Linked DNA regions of Caenorhabditis elegans. The protein of the gene in region 2 purifies or fractionates together with the protein of the main gene of each other region. This does not show direct contact. Each region holds a gene or a part of one and is shown on either strand. Other genes may lie near its edges.

What was found.
Region 1: the proteins of set-9 (region 2) and rbm-26 fractionate together in Caenorhabditis elegans (co-fractionation; one large-scale study listed by BioGRID). This does not show direct contact.

Annotation. Positions count from the first base shown.
Region 1 is NC_003281.10:5,709,521-5,715,617, forward strand, and holds rbm-26 (C3H1-type domain-containing protein), read left to right. Parts: upstream 1-2,021; 5' UTR 2,022-2,065; coding exon 2,066-2,124; intron 2,125-2,171; coding exon 2,172-2,293; intron 2,294-2,344; coding exon 2,345-2,741; intron 2,742-2,829; coding exon 2,830-3,021; intron 3,022-3,087; coding exon 3,088-4,180; intron 4,181-4,226; coding exon 4,227-4,358; intron 4,359-4,411; coding exon 4,412-4,549; intron 4,550-4,588; coding exon of another isoform or gene 4,589-4,595; coding exon 4,596-4,628; 3' UTR 4,629-5,324; downstream 5,325-6,097. Other genes in the region: B0336.12 (uncharacterized protein), read right to left, coding at 542-625.
Region 2 is NC_003282.8:4,305,889-4,310,989, reverse strand, and holds the start of set-9 (Histone-lysine N-methyltransferase set-9), read right to left. Parts: upstream 3,095-5,101; 5' UTR 3,045-3,094; coding exon 2,939-3,044; intron 2,889-2,938; coding exon 2,521-2,888; intron 2,429-2,520; coding exon 2,097-2,428; intron 1,182-2,096; coding exon 278-1,181; intron 1-277. UniProt on the Caenorhabditis elegans protein: Histone methyltransferase. Might play a role in transcriptional regulation. Together with set-26, negatively regulates lifespan in a germline-independent, partially daf-16-dependent fashion.

The DNA.
Region 1 (6,097 bases), on a different chromosome or scaffold from region 2:
ACTATTTGTGAATATCCAATGGTTTTTTATTGGGGCGCATGAATTTCATCTGATATTACAACGAATTGTGATAAGAGCTTGATACGATGAGTAGAGCACAGAGAGCAACGGCAATTGCCAGCCCCAGAGAATGAAAAATGAAGAAGAGAAGCCACACGAGAAAACAAAAGCGAGGCGAACGGAATAGCTTCCAATTTAGAATGTAGGAGTTGAGCAAGGTAAAAATAATTGAGTTTAAGTTAACAATTAAGTTACATCAAGATAACAAAACTGAATGTTTGAGTTTTGGCATGTGAGATCAGAAAAAACAAACCCTGACTAAAAAATGACGTTTTATTCAATGTACTACTCGCCTTTCTCAAGAGACAAGCGGGTAAAAAACGAAAAGAAAGTATTTCCGAGTACCTGTAAAATGAAGCGAAAGAAAAAGTAAATAGGAACGATATGGATGGTGCTGGCGGATAAATGAATGAGTTTGAGTGTGAGTTCTTTCTCCCCTTCAGTGAGTGCTGCTCATGCCGCGATTTTTTTTGCGTTGTCTCTATCTCTGAAGCTCGCTGGCTGTCATGTTGGATCTGATTTTCGAAATTGTAGCGGAGGATGCTTCCTTCTTCTCTCGCAACATTTTGACATCTGGAATTACTTAATTTTTAGTTTTTTTAGTATCCGGATTTTAGAATAGTACTTTCCAATCAATACAATCAGATTTTAACGATCAAGTTGGTCTAGTTCAAATTTATTAACTTCAAAAGCTTACTTTTTTTCGAATTTCTATTTGCGCCGTTTTGTGATCCTAAAATAATATGAAAGCTCGTAATTTTAGAATAAAAATAACTTTTTTGATAATACCCAGATTTTTCGATTTTTGCTTCAAAAATAAGGTGCCTGGTCTCGACACGTCTTTTTATAAAATACAAAAATACGTCCGCCTTTAAAGAGTACTGTACCTCTAGACTTTTGTTGATACGGGAGTTGCATCGATTTTTCATAGTTTTTCGTAAAAAATATATGTATTTATTTAAGAAAAAAAAAACTGAAATAGAACAATAAACCCACAAATTCTTTCCGATAATGAAGGCAATTATTAAAAAAATCGATGAAAATTCACCATCAATAGTTTTTAGGAATTAATCTTTTACATTTTCCCGGTGGTATGTTACAAGGTTTTATCAAAAATATTGCCAATTATATTTAGACATTCAGTTTCATCTTATCATCATCATCATCCCAATCCATCTTTCGCTATTCGTCAGAATCAATCAGTTATTTTTTCTTTGACAATCAATCACCACACACAATGTTCCGCGTGTAAAAAGAGTACGGTAACCTGGAAGTCCAGAAAACATTGACGGAGACCAGTTTGTTTCGACCGCCCGTGTGTATTTCTTGTCTAGTCCTCCTCGCTCCTTCCATGTTTCGTATTTATGCGCAGTGTTTCCACACACACTGCCGCTTGCCGAGATACGTACGCAACGCCTGTTGGCTGCTGCTGCCAATTTTTGATCATTATCGTACCCCATTGGTTCCTCCTTTTTTCTTGTCCATTTTAGGTTTTGTTCTTTATTATTATCAGTGTATCATTTAGAGATTATAATTCTACTGGCTCTTTTGTTTCAATGCACTCAACTTTTAATGTTACCAATTGTAGTTGAAAAAAGCAAGAATGATAATTATATTTTCAACATTTTGCATTTAGTTTCATAGATTTTAGTGCAAATTGTGTAGTTTATTGAGATCGAAAAAACGAAGTGTTTTTCTTCGAAATGTTCTGTTTGTTCTAACTTTCTAAATATTGCGAAATCTTTATAATGTTATTTCTCTTTTCGAAATTTTTACTTTCTGTTCAAATTTTGAGTATTTTTAATAACTCCCTTATAATGAAAACCCTAATTACACATTCTCGCATTTCTTTGCGTCTCATCTTCATTCACTCTTTTTTTTTCTCTCTACTTTCACCTGCTCTCACTCTCTCATTCTCTCTCTCGCTGTGATCTTCGTTTCCCAATTTTTTAACGAATTTTTTTTAGACTCGGTAAGAAACCTGAAAGAAAATATCAAAGAAAGCATGCACATCGACAATGAGGATGCTCTCTTCGATTGGCTCTCTGATGAGCTCTCGCCAATGTAAGTTTTTTCATTGATTAGACAGCCTACTTATACTTTTTTTTAAGAACTGACGCTGATCCAAATGCTCTCGCGAAATACGTGTTGGCTTTAGTCAAGAAACCGGATAAGGGACATGATGAGCTGAAAGCATTTACCAATGAACAGTTAAATGTGTTTTTAACAGACCGTAAATTTCATTTTTTGAAATGCTCACGTCATTCAATTAATACATTTACAGATACTGCTCCATTCGTCGACAAAGTCTTCGAAGCACTCACAAGCAAAAGCTATATGCCGGCATCAACAGCGCCTACCTCTGCTTCAGCAACTGCGCCTGATCTTAAAAAAGAAAAGGCACCAGCTGAGAAGCCATCGAAACCTACAGCTCCACCGGGTGTTCAAAAGTCAAGCAGCTCTCCTTCAGCCAGCAAAGCCGAGTCCCGCCCATTGCGCAAGCGAATTAGTCCACCTCCATCGGAAAATCGAGAAAAGGAGAAGCAGTCTCGTGACAAGGAACGCCGTCGTTCACGGTCCCCAAGAGATCGTCGAGGCCGCGCGACTACTTCAAGAAGTGGGCGTACTTCATCAAGTGATCGTGATCGTCACAGCAAACGTCGTTCTCGATCCAGATCACGGTAATGAATTTTAGAAAAGTTAAATCCCATCTATGTGTAACCATGGCTAACTTTGATTCGGGTTCTGATTAACTTATAACATTTTCAGATCATCCAGTGGCTCAAGAACTCCACCATACAAATCAAGAAGCAGTCGTCGTCGTTGTAAGGATTTCGAGGAACGTGGATATTGCATTCGCGGAGATCAGTGTCCATACTATCACGGTCGTGACCCGGTTGTAGTTGATGAGAATGCACTTGGGTCAATGGTTCCACTCCCGGCTACCGCTCCTAATTTCTCGTACGTCCCATGTTTATCTAACAATTCTTTGCAAAATCTCCCTTCTCATGATCTAATCTCATACAGTTGCAGTCTGCCTCCACCCGGATACAATCCGCTCAATCCACCTCCACCAGGAGTCGTCGTTGCCGCTGGTGAATACAACCCTGAAGCTCCTGCTCTCAACAATTACAGTATACCACCACCGCCGATCCCTGGACAATGGCAACAACCACATGTAGCTGCACAATATGTTCCCCAATCTGTTTCTTCTTACTCTCAGCCACCACCCGCCGCTGCTCAAGGAGTTGTTACTCAGCCGGGTTCTTTCCGTGGAGCACCACGTGGAAGAGGAAACATTAGAGGTCGTGGTGGATTTGCCCGTGGAGGTTTCACTGGAGCGATCAATAGAGATAACTGTACTCTTCAAGTTGCCAAGATTCCACCAGAGATGAACACGATCGCAAAGCTCAATGAACATTTTGCCACATTTGGAACTGTCGATAATATCCAAGTTAGATATAATGGAGAAATCGATTCAGCTCTGGTTACTTATGCTTCCAAATTTGACGCTGGCAAAGCTTACAAGTCTCCAACTCCAGTTCTCAATAATAGGTTTATTAAAGTATTTTGGCATAATCCTGGAGGCGAAGGATCCGAAAACGCAACTGGAAAGCCGTCATCTCCAACTTCTCCACCAAAACCTGTCGAAAAGCCGAAGATTGCCACAGTGCAAGAATCAAAATTTGTCAGTGTTGCTGCTCAAAACTATCGGAAGCAGATCCAGGATGCTAAAGAACGATTAACGAAAGAGAAGAGTATTTTATCGACGCTAGTTCAGGCTCAGAATCAGCATAATATTATTCTTGACAAGTGGATGGTTAAACAGAAGGAGTTGCTCATCAAGGCGAGAACGTCTACTGATGAAACTGATAAGAAGAATGCAACCAAATTGGTCAAACATCTGCATAAAAAAATAAAGGCATGCAAGGAAGAAGTCGACGGAATCCTGCTCAAAATATCAGAAAAGTCAATGGTGGTTGATGAGATTGCAGCCCAAATTGAAGAGCTTAAAAATCCACAAAAATCGGACGATTCGACCCGGAAGCGAAAAGCAGGAAGCGATGGAGACGAGCCCCAATCTAAAATGAGCAGTGTTGTCATCGTTCGAGGTGTAACAGTGAGTTTTCTTTAAATTGTAGATTTTAAAAACACATTATTTCCAGGATGAATTGGTCACTGATTTGATGGCACATATGGAGAAGTTCGGTGAGGTTTTTGATCACAGTGTTAAAGCCGACGACGATGGTCTCATAACAGCCGTTTTTCCGTTTAGAAAAACAGGTGATGCGTTGAAAGTGAGTTTTCAGTTTAAACGGGACTCGATTTTAAATAAGATGTTAATTTTTAGGCAATGGCGGATGGCAAAGTTCTGAATGGTGTGGACCTCGAGATGGAATTGAAGACGGAGCGAATCGAGGAGATCCCTTCAACTGATACGAACATGTCTGCCGACCAGTTGCTCGCTGCAATTCCGAGCAATCTTGAGGTAACTTGGTTTTCACTTGAAAATTAAATTTAAAAAAAGATTTCAGTCTGACGAAGAAGATGACCTGCTAAATGATTAGTCCTAGTTATATTAGAACTTTGATCTCAAAATATTGTCTTGGTGATCTTACTCGTTGTTTCCAAATGGTTACTTTTCTAGTTATCTGGCTGGTTAGCCTATTTAACCTCAGATTTACCTCAATTTTTCTTCCCGTTTATTATTGTTGCCTATCAGAAACTGTTTCGATTTTTTCTATTGTATATCCATTATAATTTATCACATTTCCTCTCTTATCATTCTTTAATTGTCTTCAGTTTAACTGCCCATTTGGCAATACTTTTTCATCTTCATTTTTTATTGTTCTTGGCTAAGAACTTGTCATGTGATCTGTTCAGAATCGCAATGATTATTGATTTTTACCTGATTCCTTGACAAGTTCCCATTATTTTTTCGTTCATTTTTGTTGTTTGCATTATTTCTATCGATATATCTCATTGATGAAAAAGCCAGCAAAAAAGAGCAAAAGAGAGCAATAACTCCACTAAATGAGAAAAATAAAGTAAAAGAATACATAATGGCTGTGATCTCGAAAAAAAATCAGCGAAAGAATAAAAGACGGGCCACTGAAAAGTGAACGAGTACAAAAAGAGCCCCTCCCGAGTGACGAGTAAAAAACGAGTTAATTTTCAATAAAACACAGGTATTTTTGCGGAAACCGGTGTGTTTTCGTCGTATTTAGCCGTGAATTGCCAGAAAATAAATGATTTTAATTTTTTTTTTCTTTGTTCTTTCTTAACTTTATTCCTCCAATTTTTCTTGCTTCGACGTTGCAATCGTCACATTTTATCTTTGATTTGATCGTCATTTCATTTATTTCCGAATTTGAACGCAAAAAGCTCGAAAATCAAGGTTTGTGACTCCTAATAATTACTGCAGAAAGTAAGAAATTCTCGGCATTTTGAAAGGCGGAAAGATGAACTATCCTAGATTGGCGCAAAGGCATTGATCTATACTGTCTGCGGCGGCCGGTTTCTATTAAGCTTTCATTTTTCTCCAGCACATTCTTCAGAAGCGCCACATTGCTTTAGTCGGAAATGCGGGTCATCTATTTAGAAAGTTTGGCGCTTTGTATTTGATTTAATATTAATTTTCTCATCTGATTCTATTTATTAGTCACAGTATCTCGTGCTGCACTCTTGTGACACGTGTCCTTTTTTCAGAGTTTTTAATTGCGTCACGATTTTCAAAATTTCTCAACAATGCGCTCGCGTTCAATAGGTTTTTCTTCTCTCAAAAAGCATTTTTCATCACTTTCTTAATGTTGCAGTTTATCGTCTTATCACTCGAAAAAGTTTGTTTCAAAGTTCAAATTTTAGAACTTTCGGGTTCATTCAATCAATCAATCAAGATTTCACTGAAGGATTGAAAGATTCAACGTACGGCTGACGTGGAGTCAGTAGAAGGAACTCGAACATTACTATTCTCGTTCCTGTGTGTATGTGTTCTTCATCCTTCCGTCCTGCACTAGCGGACAAATTTGGACGGTCT
Region 2 (5,101 bases):
AAGTCAATTTCGGGCCGCAAAACTGGCCAAAATTGACAAAATTGACATTTTTAGTTAAATCAGGCAATTTTTTTTTTTGAGCGTGTAGACCTTAAAATACGTTTAAATGAAAAAAAATCCTGATGAAAATTCGAGAAAAATGGCCTAATCTAGCTAAAATCTCCATTTTTGGCCAGTTTTTAGTCCAACATTGGAGATTTTTAGCTAAAATTAGGCCATTTTTCTCGAATTTTCACCGCGAAATTCGCTATTTTACGATTATTCTATCAAAAATCACCTTATCCGTAGTGAGCCTGGCAAAATGAGCATTCTTCTCCTCCTGAGTCATTCGATGCGGCGGCGTCGGCTTCAGGATTACTTTTGGAGGATCTTCTGGAGCAGCATCCGGCACATCTTCTGGAGCAGCAGCAGCAGCCGACTCCTCTGGCGGATCCTCTTCAGTCAACTGTGCTGGTAGCTGATCACTAGCCTTCGGAATCGGCGTCGAGTAGGTATCCGTCACCTTAACCTGGAATCTTCTCGGCTCCAGCACTGGCGTCTGATGTTCTTGTGGAACTCGTTCCGAAAGTCGGCGAGTCGGTGAGCGGAGCAAGTCCTCCTGAGCCATAGATGGTCTTGGCGCTCTGCTAGAAGCTCCTGGTCTCTGCTGAATCACAATCACTTCCGCGGATCTTTGAGCTGCAGCAGCCGGAAATTGTGGAGCCGCCCGTTGACGGTTCATCTGCTGAAGCTCCTGTCGTTGCTCCGGAGTCATTCTGTGAGGAGCCACGTCGACAACTCTGTGCGGTGGAGCAGCTGCTGGAGCAACAGGATGCTCAAACTCTTGGGTATCCATCGGACGAGTCACATGGGTCGGACGAGCACGATTATTGTTCGCCGCTCCTCCAATCATTCCAGGTCTAGCTTGTGGTGGAACACGACGCATCGGATTAGCTCCTCCACCTGGCACCGCATTCACGATATGCTGATAAGAGCCGGGTGTTGGATCCGCCGGAGCCGGGGCAGCACGTTGCTGTAAGCTTCCACGTGCTCCAGCTTGATGATACATTTGTTGTTGCTGCTCTCGAGCTCTGTTGATCGCGTTGGCGGCCGGCGAGTTTCGTGGTGGAAGTAGCCCGCGCATTGGTAGACCATTTCCAAAATCGTTCATGACGCGATATTGCGGACCATCTCGGACGACGCTGAAAATTCAGATTTTTAATGTTTTCTAGTGTTTTTTTTAGTGTTTTTAAAGGCTTTTTTAGGCTTTTTAATGTGGAGTAGCGCCAGTGTGGAAATTGCTTTAAAACACGCCTATGGTACCACAATGACCGAATATCATGATAAAAAATTCAAAAAAATTTTCTAGATTTTAAATGATTTTTTTTGAAAATTGAAAAAATCTCAGTTTTCCCCTAATTCCTATTTGAATTTCCGCCAATTGGATTTGTTCGATGGAGCGCGCTTGCACGTTTTTAAATTTATTTATTTTAAAATTTTTGTTATTTTCCACCGATTTTTAATGTTTTCGGTGTATTTTTGCTCGAATTTTAGAGAAAAAGTCACAATAAATGCAAATTTTCGATTAAAAAAGCACGCTTACAGGCGTAAAAATGAAAAAGTAACGCTTTTCAACGATTTCAAACCTGAATTAACTAATGTCACTCTAATTTCAGGCGTAAATCAGTGAAATTAGTTAATTCAGGTTTGAAATCGTTTAAAGGCGTTACTTTTTCATTTTTACGCCTGTAATCGTGTTTTTTAATCGAAAATTTGCATTTATTTTGACTTTTTCTCTAAAATTCAAGCAAAAATACAACGAAAACTTTAAAAATCGGTGGAAAATAACAAAAAATAAAATGAATAAAAATAAAAACGTGCAAGCGCGCTCCACCGAACAAATCCAATTGGCGGAATTTCAAATAGGAATTAGGGGAAAACTTAGATTTTTTCAATTTTCAAAAAATCATTTAAAATCTAGAAAATTTTTTTGAATTTTTTTATCAAGATATTCGGTCATTGTGACCACATAGGCATGTTTTAAAGCAATTTCCCCACAGGGTGTAGTCTTTATTCAGGCCTTTTCGGGCTTTTTCAGACTTCTAAGCCTTCCATACCCTCTCTGCTGCATTCTCGAATCCATTCCACCATACTCCACTTGATTTCCACCGATCGAGAAAGGCTGCGCAGCAACCATCGGCCGATTTTGAATATTATGGCGCACAGGAAGCTGTTGCTGCTGGGAAGCCACTGACGTTGATGGAAGACCACCGCCCGCCTGCTGGTTTCGTCGGTACTGTGTTCCCGGGGATCCCGGGCCGACGGCGTCTTCGGGCATCCATTGCTTGACAATGTTGCAGTCTTCGTCCAGGCCGGCGATACACGGGAACGGGCCTTCTGTCGGGAGAATGATTCGGTCCGCGGGATCCGGCGGATCGTAGTTGTGGTCCTGAAATATACAGAAAATTAAGTTTTGCATTGCAAATATTGATTTAAAAATGGAAAATAGCCTCTAAAATCGAGATTTTTCTTTTTCCTTACACTATACGGCAACCAGAAGTTTGCCCTCAGAATCGCCTCTTCCACATCAGTATCATCATCAGAATCGATCCAAACTGTGTCTTCAGTCGGTCGTTCGGCTGCCAATTGTTCTTGTTCTGTCAATGGACGAGCATCTGCTGCTGCTGGTTCACCAAAATTATTCGCTCTCTGCTGTGGAGCAACGTAGTTTGGCGGATTGTAGGCCGCCGGTTGAAAGACTGGAATCTGAGGAATCTGCTGCGGCTCGGGGATTTGCGGTTCGTGGTAGAATTCCTGATTCTCCATTTGATGGTCAACTGGGTAATTGTCTGGAGCCTCGTGTGTCGCTTCAGAAGCTTGTGGATCCTCTGAGACTCCTTGAATGGGCTCTGAAAATTTTTAAACTTAGATTTCGCGCCATTACACAGCAAAATCCTACCTTGAGCCATAACAATTGGCTCGGCGATTTCGGGTTGTTGTTGCTGTGGTGGTGGTTGCTCGAAGAGCTCCTCGTCGGCTGGAAGCGTATGCTCTCCGTCTGCCATTTTTCCTTGTCTAGCGACGACGACTTTCTGGCATGCAATACTTGACGAACCTGAAAATTGACAAAATTAAGGTGAGAACAATCGATAAAATTAGAAAAACTATCGAATACGCCAGGAAAAAAATTGAGAGACATGAAAAACCAAAGAAAACGCCAGGAAAAATATCAAAAATCAATAATTTCCGCATGATTGTGGAGAGATGTTTGAAAAAATCGTAGCATGGTTTTATTACGCTTTTCTTCAGATTTTACCTACTTTTTCAATAAAACTAATCATTTCTAACGTTTTTACATCAAAAAACTGATCAAAAACCTGTCGGAATATTTTTTTCCAGCCGATTTTTCAAAAAATTCAAAGCCGTCAGAATTCTCAAACTTCTGAGGTTTCTGGTCAGCAGTAAGCAATTCCAACATGATAATTCCATCAAAAAAAGTACGGAAAATGACGGAAAAATTGCGAAATTATTTTAGGATTCGCATCCAGAAGTTTCTTTCCCGCCTTCCGCATTTGCGCGTAAGGTTGTGTGCAAGTGCACACACCAGATTCTACCGTACTCTCGCCTCGCGGAATTCAAATTATTTTGCGTCATTCACGAAGGAAATCGACAATATAAAGTTGTTCCGGGGGTTTTTTCGTATAATTTCAGATTTTATATCGATTATCACGCCAAATAATGTATTTTGGGTTGAAAAAATTGCATCTTGGCTCATGGAATTGTTTCTCAGTGAGTTTTTTGCGAATCTTCCCATTAATTAAGTATTTTCTTCAGGTTTTCTCGTCTTCTGTGGACGTTTCAACTTCACTCATCTTTCTACGTTCACCTTGTCGAAGGATTCTTCTCTGAACTGAAAATTCATCAACGAAATATCTCTAAAATCTCTAATTTCTCGAAAATTGTGACCGATGGCGGTGTAATTCTGTTCCACTGGCGTCTATGGCGGCCGTTATAACGATTTTATCGAATGGATTGCCTAATTTCCCATAATTCTTGCCCTTTCGCAGAGATTTTACAGGTTTTCCGCTATCTATCGCCAAATTTGGAGAATTATCGATTATTTCTGACGTCAATTTCTATGGATATTTGTTCGATTTCGACCGGTGAATCGTTTTGTGCCTGGACTGATGTTAAAAGCTGACTCTAAATGGGGAATTATTGATCTGAATATAGATTCGCAACTTTTTGCGTCTTTTGAACTTTCCACGTGCTATATTTTAGTCTTCCGTGGGCTCTGCGGAGCGATAATTACATATTCTTCACTGTTTCTCCCATGTTCAGATTAAATTACAGTTTATTCGACTTATCAATCATTTATTAAGGATTTTGACGTGTATTACTCGATATGGAATTTATTAATCCAATTTGTGGAGTGACGTTGTCGTTTTTTAAGCATCTGTTGCTCCTTGGACTGAAGTTGTCTTGGATCGGCTTACGATTCACTGATTTCGGTCTGAAATGACGAATTTATTTTTTAAATATTGAGTTCGAGCTCTTTTTTACGTAATTTTCTAACGTTACTCACTTTTTGATAGGTATTCCGTGCCAGCTAACTGTCCCCTATGCCGTCGGTGACGTTTGCCATGGTGGGAGTGGTGTTGGAGCTGCTTTGCCGGCTTATTTGGCTGGAACCGTCGACTGTAGTAGGGCCTTGTCTTATTGAGCACGATTTTTGCCTGAATTTTTTATAAAATTAGGAATTTTGCATCTTTTGGTGACAATGTACCGGGAGAGAGAAAAAAATTCGAAATAAATTATCAAGCTTTCAAAAAATTCCACAAACTTCAAAATTTCTCCAAAATTTCAAAAACGTTCTTGATGATTTTTGGAAACATTTGAACATTTACTGTGAAAATGTTTATAAGTAGAAAACGCCTACACTCGCAATATTAACCCCACCAACTCCCAACCCAATACCTCTTCTGTAGACAAAAACTCAATTTTTCCTAAACTACGGTAACCCTACCGTATACCTACAGTACTCCTACAGTACCACTACAGTAGCTTGGCATTATCTCCCACCAACTCCCAACCCAATACCTCTTCTGTAGACAAAAACTCA